Oryctolagus cuniculus: one gene and its partner. The protein of the gene in region 1 interacts with the protein of each later gene in a biochemical or structural test. Links are inferred from orthologs where the notes say so. Each region holds a gene or a part of one and is shown in the gene's direction. Other genes may lie near its edges. The genes, in order: CD244 and SH2D1A.

Evidence for each region.
Region 2: the proteins of CD244 (region 1) and SH2D1A interact in a biophysical measurement, tested with the Homo sapiens proteins (2 studies listed by IntAct). The link is inferred for Oryctolagus cuniculus from reciprocal best matches to the Homo sapiens genes CD244 and SH2D1A.

The regions. Positions count from the first base shown.
Region 1 is NC_091438.1:38,096,933-38,100,743, forward strand, and holds the end of CD244 (natural killer cell receptor 2B4), read left to right. Parts: intron 1-941; coding exon 942-998; intron 999-2,323; coding exon 2,324-2,404; 3' UTR 2,405-3,375; downstream 3,376-3,811. UniProt on the Homo sapiens protein: Heterophilic receptor of the signaling lymphocytic activation molecule (SLAM) family; its ligand is CD48.
Region 2 is NC_091453.1:102,134,296-102,138,757, forward strand, and holds the start of SH2D1A (SH2 domain-containing protein 1A), read left to right. Parts: upstream 1-1,422; 5' UTR 1,423-1,515; intron 1,516-1,727; exon of another isoform or gene 1,728-1,829; 5' UTR 1,830-1,929; coding exon 1,930-2,066; intron 2,067-4,462.

The DNA.
Region 1 (3,811 bases):
ACCTGCTAGTGGAGACCTCCAGACTGATCCTGTGTTGTCCACTCAACTCATTCTCAGCATTGAGCTCATAGCTCTTATTTGCACCTGGACCTGAGATCTGTATCTTGGTACCTGTGGTCATCCTTTCAACCTTTGGGACTGGCTTATTTCACTCAGCATAATGTTTTCCAGATTCCTCCGTTTTGTTGCAAATGACCGGATTTCATTGTATTTTACTGCTGTACAGTATTCTATAGAGTACATATCCCATAATTTCTTTATCCAGTCTACTGTTGCTGGGCATTTAGGTTGATTCCAGGTCTTAACTATTGTGAATTGAGCTGCAATAAACATTAATGTGCAGACAGTTATTTGCCAATTTCATTTCCTTTGGGTAAATTAATTCCAAGGAGTGGAATGGCTGCATTGTATATTCAAGTTTCTGAGGAATCTCCAGACTAACTTCCATAGTGGCTTTCTTTTTTTAAGATCTATTTATTTATTTGAAAGTAAGAGTTACACAGAGAAAGGAGAGAGGGAGAGAGAGAGAGAGAGAGAGAGAGAGAGAGGTTTTCCATCCGCTGGTTCACTCCCCAATTGGCCGCAATGGCCGGAACTGTGCCGATCCGAAGCCAGGAATCAGGACCTTCCTCCGGGTCTCCCACATGGGTGCAGGGGCCCAAGGACTTGGGCCATCTTCTACTGCTTTCCCAGGCCACAGCAGAGAGCTAGATGGGAAGTGGAGCAGCCAGGACTTGATCTGGTGCCCATATGGGATGCCGGCGCTTCAGGCCAGGGTATGAATCTGCTGCACCACAGTACCAGCCCCCTATTAATTTTCTGGCTAAGGATACTCTCAGGGGTTTCTAAGCCCTAAGTCTCACTTGGGACCCCTCACACCAGCAGGAGAGTGACATCTCTAATCTTGAAGTCAAGTATTCTTTCTCCCTTTGAATTTCTAGTCTGGACCCAAGGTGAAGAACCATAACTCTTCCATCAGTCACTCTGTCTACGAAGAGGTAGGATCCTGGAACTCCTCCTGGATGGGTTTAGTTTCTGCAGCACAACATTCAAGTTTGGCCATGCATGGTGTGTTAGGAAAAGGTCTCCAGAGATCTTAAAATGCAAATCATCATTTTATTTTTTAAACTTATTTATTTTATTTATTTGAAATGTAAAATGATAGAAAACTAGATAGAGAGTGCTCTCATCTGCTAGTTCACTCCCCAAATGCTCTCCACAGCCAGGTCTGGGCCAAAAGCCAGGAGCCAGGAGCCAGGAACTCAATCCAGGCTTCCACATAGGTGGCAGGGACCCAAGTATTTGGGCCATTATCTGCTGCCTCCCAAGGTCTGCATTAGCAGGAAGGTAGAATCAGGAGTAGAACCAGGGGCTGAACCCAGGCACTTTGCTATGGGATGCAAGCTTCCCCTTCCCAAGTGGCTTCTCAGCTTCTGTGCCAGATGCCTGCCCTCCAAATATTCATGTTAGAGATGAAGATGCAGAGGCTCAGGGAGAGTCAGCATGTAACACAGGTTTGACTCTCATAAGGCAGTCTAAGTTGTGGATTATGGCTGTCTCCAAGCTAGTTCCCAGGGTGTGAGCCATAGATCTTCCAAGGGTTTGTGTGTGTGTTGGCAGGAGGGGCGTGAGGGATGGACGTCAGTGGGGATAAGTGAGTCTAAATGAGTTCCTAAAATTCAACCATCGCAGTGGACCATTCTGGCACACGGGTGGTCTGAAGCTTCTGCTGGAGTGGATGCTGTTCAAAGGTGAACGCTGAGCTTGGTGGCTGAACTGATTTCCTCGGCTCATTTGGCAGGCAGGGTGAGGGGAAGAGGGACTCAAACTTTGCTGAGAGTCACTACCTGTAAAGCAGCCTGCCAGCGTCTGAATCCCTTATCTAATGCCCACGTAATGCTATACGGCAGGTATACATACACATCTCATTTACACCCAGAGAGGTTACTGCATGGGGAGCATCCCAGCCATTCCTAGTACACTCAAACCTCCAACTGTGGTCCAGTAAAATGCTGTCACTGATCACAATGGAGAGGGTGAGTGGGTTGTGGTTGGGATTCCCAGAACTTCAGCTGAAGCCCAACAGTCTGGGAGGTCTGGAGGAAGCACAGTATGGTTAAAAGAGCACTGGAATTGAAGCCAGAGAACTGCATTGAAGACCCTCCTGTACTTCATACTAGTGGCTCACCCTAAGGAATTTGTTTTACCACTCCAAGCTCCATTTACTTAATCTGTAAAGTGGACACAATGATTCATACCCCCACACGATTGTTACAAGAATCTGCTAGTGGGTAGGTCTGAAATTTTTCCATTTCTTCCACAGGTTGGAAAGAGACCACCTAAAGCCCAGAGCCCCACTCGATTGAGCCGTGAAGAACTGGAGAGTTTTGATATTTATTCCTAGTTGCTGTAGCTCATCTCACCTTTCTTGCACATCAGCCTCTGCTTTGGGAAATAGCACAGTGGATGATGCCACAGGAGTCTACACAGAGCAGTTCCTAGTCTGGAGAAGATATGGAAGTTTGTTCATGGTCTATATTTTGTTTTAAAAATGATTTCTAATTGCCATTACAAGCATAAGGCTATTAAGCAATATCTCTCAACTTGCAGACAGGACAAAAACAGGTGGAAATACTGGGTCATTCACAGAAGACCACATTCCAAGTATTTGTAATCTGTCAAGTATCATGTAAATGGAGTTGGGACTGTCATTAGCATGGAGATTCCCTTTCTCTGGTTTTCTAGCCTGTTACTTGGCTCCCATCCTCCCAAATCTGGGATGACTACATGTCTTGCCCTGGTCCATCTCCCAAAGTAAGAAGAGTGAAAGGTGATGGTGGCTGGGAGGTAGAGGAAGCAGCCCTCTGGCTGTCACTGGCATGTTCTCCAAAGCCAGGGCCAGAGCTTGATTCAAATGCAGAGGGAAAATTTTCACTCACATCTCACATCTTACTTCTGGCTAACTGGTCACAAAGGGGTATGGGCAGCTGTGGGAATAGACGGTGCAAAGCAAGCCCATCTCTGGAAAAAACTCATCGAGGGCGGCGGATGCTTGGTGCAGCAGTTACATCACTGTTTGGAAGGCCCCCATCCAGTATCAGAGTGCTTGGATTAAGCCCTGGCTTCTCTGCTTCCCATCCAACTTCCTGCTAATGTACTCTCTGGGAGGTAGCAGACGATGGCTTAAGAGCTTTGGTCCCTACAACCGACATGGGAGACCTGGATTGAGCTCCAGGCTCCTGGCTTTGGCATGGCCTAGCCCTAACTGTTGTAGGCATTTGGGGAATGAACCAGCCAATGGAAGATTTTCTCTCTGTTTCTCTCTCCCTTTTAAATAAAATGAAAATAAATAAACATTTTTAAGAGGAAAGAAAAGTCACCGAGAGTTTATAATCACAGGAAGACCAGTTTTACCCTTAGTGTATGTGTGTGCTGTTTGATTGACTACAGCACATTATGAGAAAGCTACTGTGGTCTGTTCCTGGAAGAGGAGGCTCCTAGGAAGCCATAGTCTTAAAGTTTGGTGTCCAGATGATGCTTCGCATGATATGCACTCAGGCAGCTGAATACTGACTATGAGGCAAGAGGACCCGGGCACCATGCTGGGTTCCCCCAGTCTTCAGAGCACACCTTTCAACAAGACTATGAAGAGCAGGGCTGAGACTCTGAGCCCAGGAAAGGGAAAAGGATAAGCTGGACAATGACTTACTCAGAGACCCCAGCTGCTAAAAAGGCATCACTGGGAACGGCAGTCAAGACAGGGTTCCAGCTGCAGGTGGGAGATGCAGTGTCAGTTTGCAGAAGATGCTTC
Region 2 (4,462 bases), on another chromosome or scaffold:
TCACTGTAACATAAATTTAAAATGTTACCTCAAAAAGGAAGAGAATATTATGTTTGTGTCTACAAAGCACGTTCAATCTGTAAAAAACTAATTAAAAATCGTTAAAGTCTCTAAAATGTGAAAAGAAATGAAGGAGACTTATATTTCAGCTACTATGGCTGGGCATTCTTCCACCAAGGAGAGCTGTTGCTGGCTACCACTGAAATCTTAAAGGATTGTCCTTTTTTTTTTTTTTTTTTTTTTTTTTTTTGACAGGCAGAATGGACAGTGAGAGAGAGACAGAGAGAAAGGTCTTCCTTTTGCCGTTGGTTCACCCTCCAAAGGCTGCCACGGCCGGCGCACTGCAGTCGGCACATTGAGCTGATCTAAAGCCAGGAGTCAGGTGCTTCTCCTGGTCTCCCATGGGGTGCAGGGCCCAATGACTTGGGCCATCCTCCACTGCACTCCCGGGCCATAGCAGAGAGTTGGACTGGAAGAGGGGCAACTGGGACAGAATCCGGCGCCCCAACCGGGACTAGAACCCCATGTGCCAGCCCTGCAGGCGGAGGATTTAGCCTATTGAGCCGTGGTGCTGGCCAAAAGGATTGTCCTTAACCCTCATAGTTGGAGGGAAAATAACCATCTTTGGCTCTGAGCATCCAATTCATTGGTTAAGATATGAGGGTTTAAATGTCCTCCCAAGAGAGTTCCCAGCCCAGACGCATTCTCAGAAAAGTAGGTGGTGAAGTGGTGAAAGGAATACAACAGACAACATAGCTTCAGCTCTTTGTATTCCAATTCTAAAAGTATTTTACATAATCTAACGTGACATGTGTAAGACTGTTGAGTTCCAGGCATTAAACGATGTCTAGCAAAAATGGAGGAAGTTTTTGGGAAATATTACTTATCACTATTTGAAATAGAAGCAATGCTTTATTTCAGAGAAGAAAATGTAGGCTGAAGGCTTTTAAAAAATTAATGACAGCTTAACATCAATTGAAGAAGAAGCCATTCTCTAGAAACAACAGAATAAAAGTTACCACACAATTATCAACATGCACAAAATGTTGTAAAACAAGTTTTATGGCTGAAATCCTGAAAAGCGGGCCCTACACACCAAAGGGCATAGACAAATCCATGTAATGATGAAGACCCAGTTAAATGATTTGGCTTCATTCCAGGGCCCAGCAAATAGACAAATCTGGAATACCTTTGGACATACACTGGGATTTTTGTACCTCCTCCAGCACATTGGGATCCTAGACAAGGTGCTAGAAAAAAAATCAGTATTTACTTAGGACCAGGATCGTTCAAGATGACTATCTGAGTTAGGAGCTGAGAGAGAGGAACTTGCCCAAAGTCTATTGTTCACCTGCTTCATCTGATTCTGCAGGAGTCTCATGGCCATGATCAGTAGTAATTGCATATAGAAGGTGCCGTTTCGGTGCTTTGGTTTCAGAGCTTTTAGTCCTTCCGTCTTCAGTAGGTTTCAGCCCCGCATGACACGCTGCCTCTATCAACTCCTTTGAAGATCGGGTAAGCTAAGTCATTCCCGGTGGCCCCAGGGGGGAAAATGCAAGAATCGAAGCATTACCAAGCACTCTTGTCAGTGGGTGAGAGTCTGCATTGGCAGTACAGCCCAAATCGTGCAAAGTCCGTTTTCCAAGGTTGCACTCTTTGTAGGAACCCTATGTTGGTTGGGGGGTGGGGACCACACCCGGTGACAAGTTTGATAGAACCAAGCGGCTAAGTTGCTGAGCTGGTTTTAATTGAAGTGTGAGAGGGAGGTTTTTAGGCAGGTAGACAACATCCTGTTGTTCCGGTGCTTCTCTTTCTTTTTGCACATTTAGCTGAACTGGGAGTCAGGTGGCTGACTTGTGCCTGGCTGCAGCAGCTGCATCTCCCAAGTACCATCTGCAAACCTCGGCCTGCCCCAGAGTCTCCTAGGCAATGGATGCGGTGGCTGTGTATCATGGCAAAATCAGCAGGGAAACCGGGGAGAAGCTCCTGCTCGCCACCGGGCTGGACGGCAGCTATTTGCTGAGGGACAGTGAGAGTGTCCCGGGCGTGTATTGCCTTTGTGTGCTGTGAGTACGTTATGGCTGTGGCGGCGCAGAGTGTGGGCAGTGGGCACGGGGGGCCTGGGGGCAGGGATGCGGGTGGCAGTTGTTCATTAAGATCTCCTCTCCATGGCCGCAAGATTTCCTGTTCAGCTCCCACTTTGGCCGAGTGTCTTCCTGGGGATTTCATTCCCTGGCTGCCGCCTCTCCAGGAGGACCTCGCCAGGGACTTTCTGGGCAGCTGCAGAATGTAGCCTTGAGGATATGGGGAAGCATGGCCTAGAATTTACCTTTGCTTTGAGACTCGGGCTCCTGGCTTCCGTCTTGACTTCCAACTGAGGCCAGCAAGATGGAGTCCTGGAATGATGGGCCAATCAGATTTGGGGCCCCCAGCTCTGGAGAGAAGGAAAGGCCTCTCTTGAGATGGTTTGGAAGTGTCATCCCAAAGGAAGAATACCAAATTCAGGGAGAGGAGGCAGACTAAAGGGCAGAGTCCATTACTTTCAGAATGCGGCCACCAGTTGGGTCAGGACGCAGAGATGGGGTGTGTGTGAGTAAAACTGCTGCTCTGGATCAGCTTATTTAGCTTCTTTTAGAGGAGGTGTGTGGGGGACAGGAGGTTTTAAAAATAAGACCCTCCTCTATGAAAGCTAGGACCGATAGTGGTAAAGGGTGTGGCGGGAAAACACCCTCGTCATGATTCAGCTTTGCCTTTGTCTAGGCGTGTCTGGGTCTAAATGCCCCATTTTGAATCAGATGCACCTGCATCTTTGTTCCAGGGCTCCAGAGGCAGACAGCTGTGAGAGCGAAACCCTGTGCTGGTCAGAAGCCAGGTGTGTGGCCTTGGCAAATTAATGTCTTGGTCTTTCAGTTTCTGCATCCATTCAATGGGTATTACCCACCTCACAGAACTGTGAAGGTTCCGTGCTGTAATGCATGTAAAAAATTAACACTGAACCTAACACATAGTAAGTGTTCAGTAGAAATAAGATATTGGTATTATTACAATCAATCTTCTCTTTCAGTTGATTACTTTTAACACTCCTGGGAAGGACCTAGCTGAAGCATTGTCATCACCAGGATAAAATCACCCATGGAAACACCAGCACTCTACGTTAGGTTCTAGACAGAAACAAAATAAGGGCTAACGCTTGGTAGTCAGTCAGTTCAGTATTGATGATACATTGATTGTATATTGGTTTTTAAAAATGGCCAAGGTTTGTTAGTAGTAGTTCTGAGATTGTACTAAATACATTCATCATAAGGACTGCAAAGGAGATGCACACAAGTTACTGAATCTCTTGAGCTTGCAGTTTCATGTTTTCCTGATATTACTGTGCTTCCTGAGTGAAACCAGGAGAGGGTGGTGAAAGCCAACTAGGATTCTTAGGCGCTTTTCTTTTTAATTTAAAAAAAATTTAAAAATTTAACTGATATATGAAAATTGTACATATTCATGGGGCTCCATTGATGTTTTGATACGTGCATACGTCATGTAATGTTCAAATCTAGATAAACATGTCAATCTCCTGCAAGCATTTGTTGTTTCTTTATAGATAGACTCTTTCATTATCAAAAGAAGGTAGGGGAGTGAGTGGGAGGGTTGAGGGGGCTGCTTTAGGGAAGCTAGCCAAGGAGGTAATGTGCTTCTTAGCTTAGCGGTAAAGAGGAAGGCACAAAAGAAGCCTGGGCAGGGGTTGGGAGAGCGGGGGACAGTGTGTGGCTACGTACATTAAGGCTTCATTTTTGCTGGCCTCCTGGCCATTTCTTAAGCTCACTGAGTATGCTTCCTATTTAGGGTTTTTGCCCTTAATGCTCCTTCTGCAAAAATTTGATTTACATGTTTAGGCAACTGACTCTTCCTTCAGCGAGGCCTTCTCTGGCCACCCTATCTAGACTGAATGCCCTCTACCTCTCCCACTTACGTGCTCTTTATTTTTCTTCAAGGAGCTTTAAAGGCCTGACATTTGCATGTTTACTTAACTGTATTGCTGGGATCTTCTAGAAAAATGTAATCTCGGCTGGCACCGCGGCTCACTAGGTTAATCCTCCACCTGCGGCACTGGCACCCCTGGTTCTAGTCCCGGTCGGGGCACCAGATTCTGTCCTGGTTGCTCCTCTTCCAGTCCAGCTCTCTGCTGTGGCCCGGGAGGGCAGTGGAGGATGGCCCAAGTCCTTGGGTCCTTGCACCCGCATGGGAGACCAGGAGGAAGCATCTGGCTCCTGGCTTCAGGGTGGTGCAGCGTGCCGGCCATAGCGGCCACTTGGTGGGTGAACCAACGGAAAAAGGAAGACCTTTCTCTCTGTCTGTCTCTCTCTCACTGTCACTCTGCCTGTCAAAAAATAAATAAATAAAATAAATAAATAAATAGAAAAAATGTAATCTCCGTGAGGGCAAGGGTCTTCATCTCCAGCCCCAGGAA